Linked DNA regions of Daphnia pulex. The protein of the gene in region 1 purifies or fractionates together with the protein of each later gene. This does not show direct contact. Links are inferred from orthologs where the notes say so. Each region holds a gene or a part of one and is shown in the gene's direction. Other genes may lie near its edges.

Evidence for each region. Proteins that work in one complex are often made in the same cells at the same time.
Region 2: the proteins of baculoviral IAP repeat-containing protein 7-like (region 1) and serine protease HTRA2, mitochondrial-like purify together in Homo sapiens (affinity purification with mass spectrometry; 4 studies listed by BioGRID and IntAct, counting the BioPlex papers as one, with this or other methods). This does not show direct contact. The link is inferred for Daphnia pulex from reciprocal best matches to the Homo sapiens genes BIRC2 and HTRA2.

Annotation. Positions count from the first base shown.
Region 1 is NC_060023.1:3,932,683-3,941,145, forward strand, and holds baculoviral IAP repeat-containing protein 7-like, read left to right. Parts: upstream 1-1,488; 5' UTR 1,489-1,563; coding exon 1,564-1,801; intron 1,802-1,859; coding exon 1,860-2,021; intron 2,022-2,082; coding exon 2,083-2,280; intron 2,281-2,337; coding exon 2,338-2,776; intron 2,777-2,845; coding exon 2,846-3,342; intron 3,343-3,415; coding exon 3,416-3,480; 3' UTR 3,481-3,714; downstream 3,715-8,463. Other genes in the region: loricrin-like, read right to left, coding at 1-91, 390-471, 531-539; uncharacterized protein LOC124198279, read left to right, coding at 4,134-4,221, 4,316-4,455, 4,568-4,700, 4,773-4,882, 4,961-5,282, 5,355-5,453, 5,526-5,743; uncharacterized protein LOC124198280, read right to left, coding at 6,698-6,825, 6,886-7,078, 7,164-7,247. UniProt on the Homo sapiens protein: Multi-functional protein which regulates not only caspases and apoptosis, but also modulates inflammatory signaling and immunity, mitogenic kinase signaling, and cell proliferation, as well as cell invasion and metastasis.
Region 2 is NC_060026.1:11,303,155-11,311,112, reverse strand, and holds serine protease HTRA2, mitochondrial-like, read left to right. Parts: upstream 1-3,024; 5' UTR 3,025-3,076; coding exon 3,077-3,284; intron 3,285-3,360; coding exon 3,361-3,469; intron 3,470-3,569; coding exon 3,570-3,699; intron 3,700-3,822; coding exon 3,823-3,909; intron 3,910-3,978; coding exon 3,979-4,106; intron 4,107-4,179; coding exon 4,180-4,249; intron 4,250-4,316; coding exon 4,317-4,479; intron 4,480-4,584; coding exon 4,585-4,747; intron 4,748-4,814; coding exon 4,815-4,977; 3' UTR 4,978-5,033; downstream 5,034-7,958. Other genes in the region: TAF6-like RNA polymerase II p300/CBP-associated factor-associated factor 65 kDa subunit 6L, read left to right, coding at 5,384-5,566, 5,629-5,973, 6,049-6,222, 6,314-6,424, 6,487-6,714, 6,789-7,358.

The DNA of each region.
Region 1 (8,463 bases):
CCGGAAGAGCCTCCATATCCAGCACTTCCACCTCCAGCACTTCCACGATAGCCGCCGCCACCACCACCACCGTAGGATCTCATTGCGCGCCCTGCAAAATCAAACAATTTAAAAACTCGTATTTAAAAAAACAACTAAAGAATTTAATCGATACTTAATTTTTTAATATTCTGAAATTCAAACAACAAGCTGTAGCATGGAAAATTTTACCTTGATCAAATAATTATGCAATTTACCTATTTAAATAAGAGTCAAAACTCCTTAACTACAACGGGACAGCCAAGAGTTTATGACTACTGAAATTGAGTTATGTTGCACACAAGTGGTATAAATTTAGGCACTAACAGTAACTTTTGAGCGACGACAAGAATAGCTATAAAATGATTTACCTGAAGAGCCCTTATTTAGGAAGAATGCATCCGTCTGGCTGATGGCAATGACTGCCATGAGAAGGCAATTGCACAGTAAAACCTGGAAATATCTTAATGTTATGTAACTAAAATTTGATAACAAGTATATTAGTTGCCTACCTTCTTCATTGCTACTACTTGAGAAGAAATACTAGATGTGTTCAAGTCTTCAGCTCAGTTCAGCGTCTGCTTTCAGTCATAAATCTTTTCTCCTTATATACGTCTTCACCAGGTCTTCGCCACTAATGACCACACTGCCTGAAATCTTTCTATTGGTCTTTCTTTCTTTTTTTCTGCGTGTTTGAAACTTCATGACAGTAAAGAATTGGAGGGTGAGAGAGAGCGCGACGATGCGCTTGTTGACTGAGGCTCAATAAGTAAGTGGAGTAGGGCCTTCTTCGATTCAAAAAAGGGCAACAAAAACCTAAGATCGCACTTTTCGGTCCTTTGCTGCGGCACAATCACATCAACAGCGGCAAAAGCAATGAGATTTTAAGGCATTAAACACTTTCGCTTTTTCAATTGTCCGCCTTCGAATGGGGTGTAGTAAGGACATTTCGATTTCTCTTTTTTATGCGCGTTCATGATGAAATGAGAATTCTCATCTTCAACACGACAAACAATTATTTCGACATTCAGTTCGTCGTTTGTTTGTTTGAAAGTCGGCGTCTCCCTCCGAAATGGTTTAATAAATTTGAGTTTGAAGTGAATAGATCATCAACATTCACTGTAAATAGATGCGAGAATCAACCGTTTGTGTCCGAATCAAAATAAATAGTCCATTCAAAATTTAAGCCGTTATCATTGTTTGTTTCTATTGTTTCTTGATGAGAATACGACCGTCAAAAAATTTGACAGACTGCTCATTTCGTCCAACTTTTATTATCATTGAAAAGCTTATCAGGTCATGCTTTCATATTTTATTCAAATTTTCTAGTTTTTTCTGTAATCTTCTTTTTTTAATCATTTATAAGAAAAAACTTAAGAAACTAACAAAACTAACAAAACTTAAAACTAACATTTATAAAACAAAGTTTTATTTTTCTTAAAAACAGAATATCCAAAGTCCAAATACTTGGCAACGTCACATTGCTCTGTTTTGACACAATGGTGTCAGTATTACTGACGTCGTGTCTGTTTTTCTTTTTTCATCATGCCTCAAGAATGGATAACCCTTAGACGAGAAGATATTCGTTTGCGAACTTTTAACGAACACTTCTCTGCCACATTTTTAAGCCCCCTCTTACTTGCTAAAGCCGGTTTCTTCTATGTGGGAGTTGACGATCAAGTTCAATGCGCGTTCTGCAGAGGAGTGGTTAGAGATTGGGAAATAAATGACGACCCAAGAAGAGAGCATCAACGTTTGTTTCCGTCGTGCGCTTTCATATTAGGTTGGTCTGTTAAATTCGGAAATTGCAATATGACATTAATTTGTGGTCCGTTGGTTAGGTTTACCAGTAGGTAATATACCTTTGGGTGAAAATCCATCCACTGTACATCTGAATGTAGAACGAACTGCTTCTCTACCTGTACCTCAGCAGTTGAACATAGGATTTGGAGCTACCAGGCAGTTTACTTCACAATTTAGACCAAATGCCTCACCAGACACTGGTATGACAACCACTAATTACTTCATTATCTATTTGGTTTACAATACAATTTTGTTTCATAGAATTGAGATCTCCAGACAGTATGCAATTGAATGCATTAGTAGGAGAAAATTTGGAAGAGTTGGGCATAACTAAACATAGCGGACCTCGGTATTCCTCATATGCTACTTTGGATGCACGACTTAAAAGTTATAATAACTGGCCTTCCCACCTGAAGCAAACTCCAAGAGCAATGGCTCTATCTGGTTTCTTCCATCTTGGTACAAATAGCACAAAAAATTCTGGTTTTATTTTGTTAATTTAATTTATGGATTTAGGGACCAACGATCATGTCAATTGTTTTCATTGTGGATCGGGCTTAAGAAACTGGGAACCAGAAGACGACCCATGGCTTGAACACGCTCGATGGTTCCCTCAGTGTCGCTTTGTTATGCTGATGAAAGGAGAACAGTACATTAAAGAAGCGACAGAATCCATGTCCAATCATCCTAAAGCCAAGCCTTCCCTGTCGGCATCAGTGGGAAATTCACGTGCCTCACCAAGAGAGGCTTCAGAAGCTGATCTGCGAAGTTTACTAGGAACTCCCATAGTTCAGACTGTTCTAGCAATGGGCGTTGACCTTTCTCGTGTTAGGCAGGCCCTAAAATACCAAATTCGTACTACTGGGCAGCCTTTCAACACAGTTGATTCGCTTCTTGAGGCAGCTATTGAAATTCAGCATCACAGCGAGCATCGCCAGTCGTTGGAAGATGGCAAGTAAGTCTTTTGCGTGTTCACTTCTCAACTCGAATTAGACATTTCATTGATTCCTTTCACCCTTCTTAGCTATGAAGATGTGGACTGGCCGTCAGCTGTACCTTCCTCTTCTCGTCGACGTGTAACATCAACTGGATATACCCTTGTAGAACTTCCCGTTTCTCTAAGTACACCGAGCGATGAACATAGAACAAATACCAATGAGAACGTACCAATTGTACCATTGGTTTCGGAAGTAAGATCTGAAACCCCGCTTTCGCATCGGGAAATGGATACTCTTAGTAAGCCAGAAAATCCTGAAAAAATAAAAGAACAAAGTTGTGCCCTAGAGGTATCAGCTTCATGTGAAACATCCACACAATCCGTCGATAGAAGTAATGTATTAATTTTCAGACATTTTGAAATAATTAATTTGACCAACATTTTATTTGTTGTAGCCCAAATTTTGGAAGAGGAGATTCGTCGCCTGAAAGAAGCTCGTCTCTGCAAAGTATGTCTTGACGAGGAAGTGTCAATTGCATATATTCCTTGTGGACACATTGTGACTTGTGTCCAATGCGCGGCAGGTAAACTACAATATTTTGATCAAATAATGTTACTAAAATTTTAGCGTTTTAATAAATTTTTTTTTTTTTTTAGCTCTCGAACACTGTCCTCTTTGTCGAAAAAATATTAAAGGAACAGTCCGCATCTTCTTGTCTTAAGTAGTTCATTTGGATTCGTCTAAATGAATTGGCGATCGCAAAGACGAACTATAGATATTTTCTGAAGTACAGTTCTAAGTTCTGGAACAACTTAGTACTTGTAAATTTAAAAAATTCCACTGTTAATAAGTATTTAGTATGGATTTTTGTTTATTATTTAAATTCTTGCAAATGTTCTTGCAAACCCACCGGCTTTAGTTTAAAAAATAAACGGAAAGTTATTCAAATCTCAAATAACTCAAGTTCGAAATATTTCAGTGATAGCAAGAAGCTTCTGGTATTCGATGGCCACTTCAACCGTGAAACCGTGAAGGTCTCTTTTCAACCGAAACAGGAAGTTGAATGTTAAAGGTGCGAGTGCGTGTATGGCCAATAGTCAAGTCTTGCGTGTTCACCAAGCATCACGTCCTAGAGTAAGGTCTGTAACATAATTTCAGAACAAAACAAACATTTTAAAAAAAGTTAAGATTCGCAATAACAAAGAACGCGTTCGTTTCGCTGTGTGCATTGCCAGTAGACAAAAACAAGCCTTCATTCCTAAATATCTTATCGATGTGATTAGGCCTACTGTCTCTAACTGTTGAGTGTAACCCACTTGTTAATTTGATATGCGTAGCCACTAACGAATAACGGTATTTGATTTCCAGCAGGCAATGTGTTCTCCCAAGGCGGCGGTTTTCTTCATCCTCCTTGTTCATTCGATCAGGTCGGACAGTCATGGTGACCTCGAAAAATCAAATAGTAAGTTCCTCATTCGTGCATGTACTTACTTCTCTATTATCAAGATGAAATCAGGATGCCATTTGTAATTATATGATATTCATGAACGAATCAGGATTTAAAAGAATCGTTCTCGGCAATGGATCAGCAATTCTTCCTCCTCGGCCATTACCCATTGGAAACTTGTCTAGCAATCATGGAGAGGCAGATTGCTACTTTGTTGGCACTCATTTCTATTGTATTAGTCAATTCCTGGTACTATATAGCCTATAATGAATGAATGAGTGGGATCCTACCGGATGAAAGTTTTAAAGACTTAAAATTTTTAACAAGTTTCTCAAGTATGCATGATTTTCTATGGTTGTAGGCTAGTTTCGCGGAATCAAACCATTATTGTCGTGAAGAAAAAATGCAACTTCTTTATTTGGAAAACGAAGAAGAGCATGAATACCTTTACAATTTCATGAGCAACAACTACCACAGTAAGCTACTCACATTTCGTAAACCTTAACTAATTGTTTTATTTGTCCGTGTAATAATTTAATTTAAAATAATCTTTTAAAATACTCAAGTTTCGGCGGGAAAATTCCTTAAAAAGAATGACTTCGCAAGTGAAGAAGTCTACTCTAATTATGTCTATGATAACATCAGTCCAGGAATGTTAGTGAAATGCGTTTCAGTGGTTTGTTGTCGTCAAATTATTTTCATTGTACCGCCGACTATGCTAAAATTCCTTACTTATTTTCATTTATAACTTCAGTGTGGGCGCCAAATACGGCCTTCCATAGACGAAGGCAGAGTGTTAGATTATGAGGATCGGGAATACATCGGTTTAGCCATTAAAGTGCAATGGAAGACGGGTATCGTTCGCTGGTATCCCGCCCAGAATCTGCAAATGGGTGGCTTTCGAAGTCTGAATAGCTCAAATGTACGTCGGCCGTCCGAAGGAGTGTTCACACTGGAAGAAGATATATTTGAACCAGGCGATAAAGTCCGCATTCATATTTCTTCGGACATTTCAGATTTAGATCAGCAAAGAATTTCGCAGCAAGTTCAACCTGGTGAAGTTGGAATAATATCAGGTTTAATCGCAATCTTTTTATTAATTGCTGGGAGTTGAGGTAAAAATCGTTTTTTTTTTTAAATTGTTGCAGATTTGGACGCTGCTGGTGGAAGTGGCTTGGTTTACTTTCCAAGCAACAAGGGATGGCGGGGCCCCTTGTCTTTGTTAGAAATAGTTGATAAGCGCAAAGGTACAGCACATTATTTATTTTCGCCTATATTTTTAAATTAAATGATTTAAATGGTTAATTTCTATATTTAAGCATCGGGAACCTTCTGGACATCAGGAAAGAAAAACAGTAAAGGAGACGGGTGGATCTGGACAAATAACAATGAACTTGTGACATTCACCAACTGGGCCCTTGAAGAACAAGAAGCTTTACTTATAAAGGGAAACTGTCTCGAAATTAAATATCACAAACAAGGCAAATGGTTCTCTTCAAGATGCTCTGATCGTAATTATTTTATTTGCAAAAAATGACATAACAATTGCTAAAATTTTCAATAAACAACATGCAAGAAGAATGCTTATTAGGCCTATATGTTTTATTATTTTTTTATTAGCGTGTTATTTATTTTTATTTGTTGAACTGGTTGAACAGTCTTACAGTCATGGTCAATGACTCAATGTGCTATTATTCTCTATGGCGCTGCCTTCTGTCCATTTCATACTACTTTCTCAGTTCTCTCATGGTTTTCACCACCAGATGACAACACACTACAAACATGGTAACATTTCCGCCTTTTCGGACTATTTTCTAGGATCAGAGGCCCATCTGTTATTTTCGCTGAACCTGGACGCCCGTACGTGCAATCACAGCCATTATCCATAAGAAGCAGATTAGCATTCACATGCTAAAAAGGTATAACAATTTTATAAATTTGGCCCAATTGAATTTGAAATGTCAATCTAATGTTTTGATTCATTTTAAGCTATTTTTTCAGTTGTTGAATTTGATGGCATTGTTGCATAACGTTCCTCTTCGGTCTTTTCTTGCATCGTTGAAAAGGAACGCCATTTCTTTAACCTTCCCTCTTATTGCTGCCGGTCTCATCTACTCTGATTATTCGTACACTCAAAGGTGTAAAGCACGAGACATCGCCAGAAACCAAGAACTAAAAAACCTTGAAAATGTCGATTATGAGTAGAGAACTTTCTATGACATGGAAATATTTGATGAGGCCGAAAAATGCTATGGCCATCGTCCCACTCATTGGCCTTTACGTTGGATGGAAAATTGAAAAAATTGAGTATGACAGACTTTCATTGTTTAAAGATAGAAGTGCCCTGTTTGGAAGGGAACATGGCCCCGACTACAAGCCTTCATGGTGATTTGTGAAAATGTAGAAAATGTAATGTAAACATCAATAAACATATAGAAGTCATTAAATTTATTGTTAATTAACCATGTTTACAAAAATGATTCATATGTATTCAAAATTTTTTCATTTGCTTTCTTATTAAAGCCATTCGTTGTTTGTGAGCTTCGGTCACTGGAGCCCTCTTGTATGGCCTAAGCTCATCTGTTCCAAATCCTGGGATCCACATATTCCATTGGCGTTCTAAATAAATTAAAAACTTAATAAAAGTAATGTATTAGGAATTACACCAAAGAATCACACCTAGATGCATTTGGACATCAGTCACATCTAGTGCTGTTGCTTGTCTGTGCTTAGCCAGTTGGCAGGAAGCATTTACTGTAGATTCAATGAAATCATCAGCAATTTGCAACAAGAGTTCCTCAACTTCTTCATCTAGTTGTTCATTGGGGTCTACTTCTCTGACCAAATCTTGAAGTCTTCCTCTTGTAAGAACCTGTGATACCACCATTCCAAATCATGACATTATATTTTTGGCAAGCTAATAAAACTGAATAGAGAAATCTTGGATAAATATTTACTTGGTTTTCAGAATTTCCTCCACCAGTCGAACTCGAATTCTGTGCATTTGAATAGCTTGTTGATGACGTAGAACCTGAAGTATTCTGAGACATTTGTTGTGATTTTTGAGACAACCGTGAATCCGGTCAATTTAAACTATACGAATTACTGGGAGCTCACAAATTGTTCACAAAAAGTAGCAATTTTTTTTTTAGAATTTCCAACATCAGATATTTCAAGGCTGTGTAAAGTGGTAAAATAAAATGGACTACAAAAATAATACGAGTAAATACTGTATATCTATAATAATCAGGCCGAGATGGCGAGATCTTACTGTCGAACTTCCCACAAAAAAATGTAGTTCAGAGACACCTAGTGGAAATTCCAGTCGGAAATTTGAAATGAGAATAGAGCAGTCTAACATCCACGTTTCACAAATTTGTGTCCAAAATGGCCCAATCAGCGTAAGCGTTTTAAAGATGCTGTACGCTGATTGGCCATTTTGGTCACAAATTTGATGGTAACGCAGGATGTTAGACTGCTCCATTCTCTGCGACTCTGCGCTTTCTTCGAAACCCGAAAAACCGCACCGATTTTGTTTTGTTTTGTTTTAGAACCTTAGTTGACCTTAGAAACATTATTTGAAGATTTTATTATAAATTTGCTCTGTATGGTGTTTGCGGATTGTTTAGACTAATTAATCTTTTTCGTAAAGCATTCTCGCGCATTCTCGGAAAAAAAAATTACTACCGGAGAAGATAACTTGGAATAAACACTGAAACGAAGGAACTTCGACCATAAATTAGTAGATGATGATTTCGAATTGACTTTCGCTCAACGATCTTTTAATTTGTAGTATATACAATGAGTCATTTCAAAATTTTGTTTACGTTGGCTAGTGTAGCCCATTTTCGGTATTCTTGGACACACGAATTTAATATGAATATGAATCCGAATTAATTTCGTTTTAACTTTTAACGAGTGTAATTTTATCGGTGAAAGTCTACTGTATAACACAATTTGGGTGAGAACTCGCAAGCAAGCAATTAGCAAGGCTCTTAAATGAAAAAAAAAGTTAAAACGTCGAATGAAGACAGTTGCAGTATGAAGTACAATTTATTACAATCAGAATGACAACAGAAACAAAATCAAAATCAGGTATTACAAGTCGGTTTAAACCGAACAAAAAAAAGTAAATTTAACTGTTTAACAAATTCCAGTTGAAGATGGGAAGTTCTGTTATTCAATTTTACTCTGGTTTTGCCTGTATTGCTACCAATTGCATAGCCGTTATAAAGCTTGTGTCAACAGGTTTTGAAA
Region 2 (7,958 bases), on another chromosome or scaffold:
CGCACTCTTTCAAAATCCTCCATGTTGGCACCCAGTAACCATGGAGATTCGCACCGAGGGAAGAATTCTACTATCCCTTTTCTTCCCTCGGGCCGATTTTCCATGTTAACTGGGTGCAACATGGCGAATTTGGAAAGAGTGCCATCATGAATGACACATTGTCATTGGCAACCATCTCTTCATACCCCTGCTTAGGGCTGTGGCCCGGAGGTATTTGGGCGTGTTTTTTATTTCATGGGTTGCCCAGATGGGTTTTTTTTTAACACGGGTTTGAGCGGGTTGGGTCAATAGCGTAAATGGGTCCACCCTTGGTTGGGTCAATGGCGTAAATGGGTCCGCCCCGTGTCGCCCAACGGGTCACAAACAATTTACCGTCTGGGTCACGGCCCGGGTAAAAATCGTGTAAAAAGACTTTTTTTTTACAAATTTTAAAAAATTCCCTAAATTTCTAAATTATCTTCTTTTTCCAACAGCGACACGTCAACGCTGTCTTCTGAACACCCCTGAACGCCCTTTTCTACCATTTATCCTAATTTTCATGCTACGAAATTCTCGCGGAGTTGCGGCAATATTTTTAGTCTTTCTTGGGGCCGCAGGCATATTGAATAACGAGATTCCCTATGTGAGTACTAGATGGCGCCACCCCTCGGGTTGGCCCGTGGAACCGGTGGTTCAACCCGTCCGCCCCGTACAAAAATGCCTGGGTGGGTTGATATATTTTGGGTTTTTTTTTTCTTTACCCCGGGCTGTGGCCCGGGTTTTCATGGCCCCGGAGTCCGGGCTGTGTCCGGGGCCCGGACACAGCCCTGGGCCCTGCTCCGGTACACCGTATTAGAGCTATAGAATACTGGTACCGCCACTCATATGGCGAGCCCTTCCATTGCTTTTTTTCTCTGGAAGTGAAGCCTGCTGCTTGCCTGCCCATGGACTACTAAAGCTAGAGGACGGGACACTTCGTCAATTCCTATGTCGCCTACCATTTTTTTTTTGTTACAGTAATCAATAGAGCTTTAGAAATGAGCTATAGTCTATTAAATTATCCCTATGCGGGAATTATTTAATTTCGGTGATATTTTAATTAGAAATTGACGTAGGTGCTCGTTAGTTGTCGCCGCCTAGCGGTGATTGTTGGTTTACCACTCTATGATTCTCTGGTTTTGTTTTGGTTTAGTTTGATTAGGTGCGTCTGCTATCTGTGATTCTCTGGTGATTCTCTGGATTCTGTTTGTTTTCTTTCTAAAAACCATGGAAGAGTTTAGAATTCTGAGCGCTAGGTGGAGACAACCAACGAGCACCTCTCCCGTTCCCCTCAAAATTTAAGCGCAAATATCTTTTTTTTTAATATCTTCACAAGAAAGGTGCTTTGGAGACTTAGAATAGCTTTTTAAATCTCTATCGATTGACCCTTCTTAAAAAAATATGATTAAAAATCCACCCGACAAGCTATAACATGGCGGGATAGGACGAGTGTCCCGTCCTCTAGCTTAAGTAGTCCATGGCCTGCCCTGTCCCGTAGCTGTAAGCGCCACGGCGGGTGTGTGGGGAAATAGGGTATAGGAATAGTATAGGAATGGAGGGAAAAGTGGAGGAGTAGTAAGAGTCGAGATCGATATCTTAGCTCCGATTTTCACTATCGATTGCTAAAATTGGCTTCAACCCAGAGCTATGATGATGGTAGAACCACTGCCTGTAAAATTTTCCTCTCGGAAATTTTTCCTAAAGTTGCAGCCAATATCGCGAATCGAAAGTGGGAAAATGAGCTCAAGTATCGATTTAGACCTAATTGTCAGCGCCAACAGCGGCCATCTACTGAAACTTTGTTAATTTTTTGCTTGCTTGACAGGAAAACGATGACAACACTCGTGGTGGGAATTGTTGTATTTAATAAGACAAAATCATAGACTAAGTTTAAGTATGAATAACTAAATAAAAAGTCCTATTAACACCATAATTCAACGATCAATTCTTATACGCTAGGATGTTCTTTATTTTTTAATAAAAATAGAAAAAACTTAGGTCCTATAGTTTATAAGTTATCGTCACTTTACTTAGGGACTATCGGGCATAAGAGCCCGTGTTAAACCTTTTTGGCGGCACTGTAAATTTTTAAAAATGTAACAACTTCTAAATTATACAACTAGAATGCCGTTCGACAGAAAACATTCATATTTGGTGATATGATGTAGCCTATCACAAGGTATCATTTCATGACTTTCTTTTATTTTTAATATTTTAAATTCTGTATTTAATTTATAGTTAAATGAAATTTTTTATTTAAATTCAATATTTTTAATAGTAAATATAATTATTTCTTCGGAGGGTTTTGAACAAGTATTTATTACCTTGATAGTAATAAAGTTCATTAAAAAAATCAATTCTTGCAGTTTGTTCTAGGTTAAAATATAACTTTACTCCACTATGGTTATACATCTATAACTCTGCTTCAACCCCAGAGAAAATTTCCGAGAGGAGTTAACATGGCAGTGGCGCTAGTTACCAGTATTCTATAGCTCTGACCAGAGCTCTGCCATAGATAAAGAAGACTGGTTTCGCATGTCCTATCCTTTTAGCCCTATCCCTACTGACCCCGAGTTTCTGTTTTGCTTGTCCTGCCCCTAGCGGATAAACTGCTGTACTGCACCGTGGCTACCAAGGGTGTTGCAGACGAAAGTTGTTTTCCTTCTGTCTTGGTAAAATTCTTTGCTGGCGTTTAAAAGTTCTAGGTAATTTTTTCATACAAATTTTTACTTAAAAGTCATTTTGTATTAAATTTTGACGTTTGCCAATTGCAAAAGTAGAGAAATCAATTGAATGATTGCAATGGAATAGATGTAAGCAGAGTGTAGAGAACAAAACGTACACTAGAGGGCAGGACAAGCAAAACAGAATCGGGAAAATCGGAGGAAGGGTAGCAAGAATTCTGGCGACAGTTGGCCATGTTAATTTTCTTATGGACAGCATCAACCAGTGGTCTTTGTCTATGGCTCTGCTCTGACCGTATTTTGGGATGAACAAAATTAAGAGTGGCAACCCTGCCTTGAACCATAACAGTAGCTACAATTCATAAACAGTACAAATGTCTTCGATTTATCGTATGATAAAAAAACTTACTTTTATAAACCGAAAGTTTGCCGTCCTTCGTTATAATTCCCTTAAAAGTCGAAATGAATTTTTGCAGAAATACTGTTGGTGTAATATATCGTGGAAGTTAGCAGGAGTTGCCTTAGGAGCTTTCCTGTTCGAGTTCCATTTACACAATAATAAGTTGTTTGCCACTTCTAAAAGTTTGGATTCATTTCATAATAACTTATTTTATTATTTGGGTCATTATCCATTTTCATTTGATTATTGGATTTTAAGGTGGTGAACTTAATGATGAAAGTCCAAGAAAAAAGTGTAATTTCATTGCTGATGTTGTTGAAAAAGTGGCTCCTGGAGTTGTTTTTATTGAAATCAAATCAAATTTAAGGTTTCATGCAGTTATTAAAATCTAATTTTCTTTTGAATCACATTCAACCAACTTAATACTCACATTAAACAAAATTTAAATTTCACATTATGTTTTGCAGGAATTCTTTTTACAATTTTAGTGCTCCACAGCAGACTGTGTCTCATGGGTCAGGTTTTATTATTGAAGGTGATGGATTAATTGTAACAAATGCACATGTTGTCCTTGGACAACCAAATAGTTCGGTACAGGTAAATCATTATGGATGAAATGATAGAGTAAATACTGTATAAAATTGATGGTGAAGTATTAAACACAATGAGTAGGCAAGGAAAAAATTATGCCCTCAATAATATGGAAATTTGTATCTTTAGGTTAAGCTTCATGATGGAAGAATGTTCCAAGGGATTATTGAAAATATTGACACAGTAACTGATCTTGCTACTGTGAGAATTCAATGTGTAAGAAAAACAGCAGCATCTGTTAAAGATGATTATCTCACAAAAATAACATCTTATTGGTTCCTGTAGAAAGGATTACCAACTCTGAAGCTTGGTTCCTCATCTACTGTCAGACCAGGAGAATGGGTAGTTGCAGTTGGCAGTCCTTTATCTCTAACAAACACCATCACTGCTGGAGTGGTATCCTCTATTAATAGGTAAATAAAATAGTGTAGCCTATGTTTAAAAAGCTAAAAGGTATAGCCTATAATTCTGTAAATCTCTTTCTAGGGGAAGCTCAGAGCTTGGATTAAATAAAGGAAAAGAAATGGAATATATTCAGACTGATGCATCAATCACTGTAAATTTAGCAATAGTCATTGTTCTTGTATTTTTAAAAACACAATAACATATGGTCTTATTTTCAGTTTGGTAATTCGGGGGGCCCACTCATTAATCTCGACGGAGAAGTAGTTGGTGTCAACGCTATGAAAGTTACTGCAGGCATTTCTTTCGCAATTCCCATCGATCATGTAAAAGATTTTCTCTCCATTCTCAAGAATTGTTCTTCAAATAAAGGAGTAGAAAAAGGTATTATTCTTTATTAATTTTATGTGTTACAAAGATATTTATATCCAAGATCCTCAGTGTTGTATGTGATTATGTTTTTCCATATATTTTTGTTGTTGCTGTTAGAAAATACTGAGAAGGAGTTTAAACGTCGTTATATGGGTGTTACATTGTTGACTCTTACTACCGAACTGATAACCGAACTACAATTGAGGGGTACTGAACTTCCACCTAATGTAAAACATGGTGTGTTGGTATGGAAAGTTGTTCTTGGAAGTCCGGCACATTGGTAAGACTACGCTAAAATTGTATTGTTTTTTTTTCAAAGATGGATTGATATAAAGATTTTAATATAGGGGAGGACTTCAGCCAGGTGATGTCGTTGTGTCGATAAACGATAAACCTACGATAAATTCTCAGGATATTTACAAAAATCTTGAAGAAAATGAAAGTCAAATTAAAATATCAGTCATCAGGAAACGAGAAATGATTAATTTCCTTATTTCCTTGGAAGATTGATCAAATTAATCTTTTCTGTTTGATTTGTCATGCAAAGAATAAAATTTTAAAATCAACATGAATTTCAATTCTTTTGTATACTTGCAGCTCCAAGAGTTTTTAGTCTGATTTGAGCTTTTGAGGTAGTGATTGTGGAAAAAATTTTGCCCCGCAAGAAGTTTGAATAATCGAATAAGCATTTTTGGCGGGCACATAGTCATACAAGCACTCAGAGCCATCTACTGTTAACAAAATAACTAAATATTGGCGGTGGAATGGAGGTTGTTTGCAGACGGCTCAGTTTGAAATCTCCGGCGTGAAGTCTCCCAGTTTACTAGTTTGCCTCATGAGATTATCTGTTTAATGTTTGTATCAATTGCACTGCTTTTCAATACAAGAGAAACCATCTCTTTGTGTGACAAGAAAGATGAACAATGATGTGAATAATGAGAAGAATTCTGACAAAGCAGGGTCTGAAAAGAAGTTCATCCAAATTTCTCCTGAGTCCATTCAGCTCATTGCTGATTCAGCTGGGTATCCAAATGTACCATCAATTCTTTCAAAAAGTCTTGCTGAAGATACTTCGTATAGATTGAGGGAATTAATACAGGTATAGATATTTTTCTTCTTTTATCATAACTTATCAATTTCAATTGATTGAATGCTTCTTAGAGCTGCAGTCAGATTTTACGTCACAGCAAACGATCTAAACTAACCAAGGATGATGTTAACCTTGCCCTTCGTTGGAGTGATGTTCCACAAGTTCATGGACCCAATTCTACTCCAGAGGATTTTTTGTATTTACCAGAGTTTGATATTTACAGTTCTTTAGACAGAGTAGTGGAACTCACACAGGAATATCCCATTGAAACAGATGTAGAAGTTTACTCTCCTATGAAATTGACAATCCAGTATCTTGCTTTAGATTCTGAAGACAAACTACAACCAGAGATTTATTTTCAATACTTTGAGAAAATTTCTCAGTCTTTACTTAGCACTTCAGAATATGTTGTTAAGGTGAACAGCAGATTGTGTTCTTACAGGTTTACTTAATGGTATGCTTTATCAACTGAAATTTGTATCAAACTGTAGGTGGCTTTGGCCAACTTGCGTGAGAATCCCAAACTGCAGCCCTTGATGCCTACCCTTTCTGGGTTTTTAAGAAATTTAGTTGGGTTCACCAGTGAAAATTCTCATGTTGTCAGAAGGATTCCCAGAATTTTCAATGCACTGTTGAACAATCCTCATCTTCACATTGGATCAGAGGTAGTCACAACACACAATCCATTAAAATATCTATACTGTTGGAATTTTAAAAAAAAAAAAAAAAAAAAAAAAAACTTTTTTACTTATTCAGCAGGAATGTTTCCTTCAGTTGATACAAGATCTTATTTTGAATCATGGAGGAGAGAAATTAGACGACAGCATCTTCCAGCTGATCTCTAGCATTTTACACATTCTAGCCAAAGTATTTATTTTAATACCTTTAACAAAAGTTCTGAATGCTTAAAATTCTTTGTGATTATTCAGTTGTCAATCGATGGCTCAGTCCAAGACGTTGTTCAAAACTTGAAACGTGTCATTGCTGACGCTGATCGTCACATCAGTGTGCAATGTAGGGCATTGATGGCCTTAAGGTGCCTAAGCAGTAATTATCTGGATATTGCCACTGCGGAACATTGGAATGCCTTATTAAATAAACTTTATGGAATGGCCGAAAGTGACAAGGATGTCCTCTACCTGGAAGATGCTTTAATTGTATTGTTATTTTTAGTGTGCATATCATTTTACAATGTTTATTTATGTTTCTTTTCCACTCTTAAAAAATTTAGAGTGCTGTCATTGATGTCCTGCGCTACAAGATGAGAATATTGGAGGAAACCGCAGACGCAGATAAAAGCAGTTTGATGCCAGAGCAGTTATGGAATAAGGGATGGGAAATTTATCGACTAACCAGTGAACTGATGGGCTCATCGGTACTTCGCATCGGTCATTTTCCATTATCACTTTGCCAGCAAGTTCAGAGAGATCGTGCCGAGAAAGTTGGTGATTCCTGTGATGAACTCTACTGGACTTTAAAGACACTGCATAAGCCTGTACCTCAGTCCAGATGGCGATACAACCTCAACGGAAAACCTCACGATCCGCCAGTACCTATCGATCTCTTTGATGTCTTTGATTATTCTGACAGGAACCCTCTTCGAATGGCTAACATAAATCTCCGTGTCAGAAACTGGAAACAACGACCTGTGCAATTGTTGAAGAAAAAGGTATCGCCCTGCGTTAAGGGATCACCTTCCAACTTTGCCATTTTATCTAATTCAAAGTTCAAATGTTTGTCAAAGTGTTTTCTCGCCAACTCAACGTTGTTTTTCTACAATCCGGTTGATTTAATTTTGTAAAAATGTTCGTTCGGAATTCATCCCGCAAAAAATTGTTACATAGGAAAAAATATGGTTCTCAATGTTTCACGAATATAAAGTGTCGGAATTGTAGGTTATTTCAGCTATGAATTGCGTTGTAAATTAAATTAACATAAACATTTGAGAATAAAAATTCCTCACAGAACAAAACTAATGAAGACAGTGTAGATAAAAATCAATTCCATGGAAAAAGAGTATTTAAGATTAAAATTTGACATTTTCGAAACATGATGTCATAAAATCACGTTACCTCTAATTTTTTAATTAAGCTCGTAGTATTTTTTAAGTAGGCTACAGCCTACAGCTACACTTTTGATAAATTTTTACTTGAATTGAGCAGATCTAGGAATTTTAAAATTTCATATTATTTGCGCCAACAGCATTGTCTCATAACACGTTAAGAAGATTGATGGAATATCCAATGAAAATAAATTAGAATTCAGTTATTAGCTATTAGACTGACAAAAATAATTTATTCTACCTATTTTTTTTTCTTTTGTTCATAACATGAAATTACCAATTTCATCGTTATTTTTTGTTAAAGTAAGCCATCTACCGGCGTAGTATCAACCATCCAAC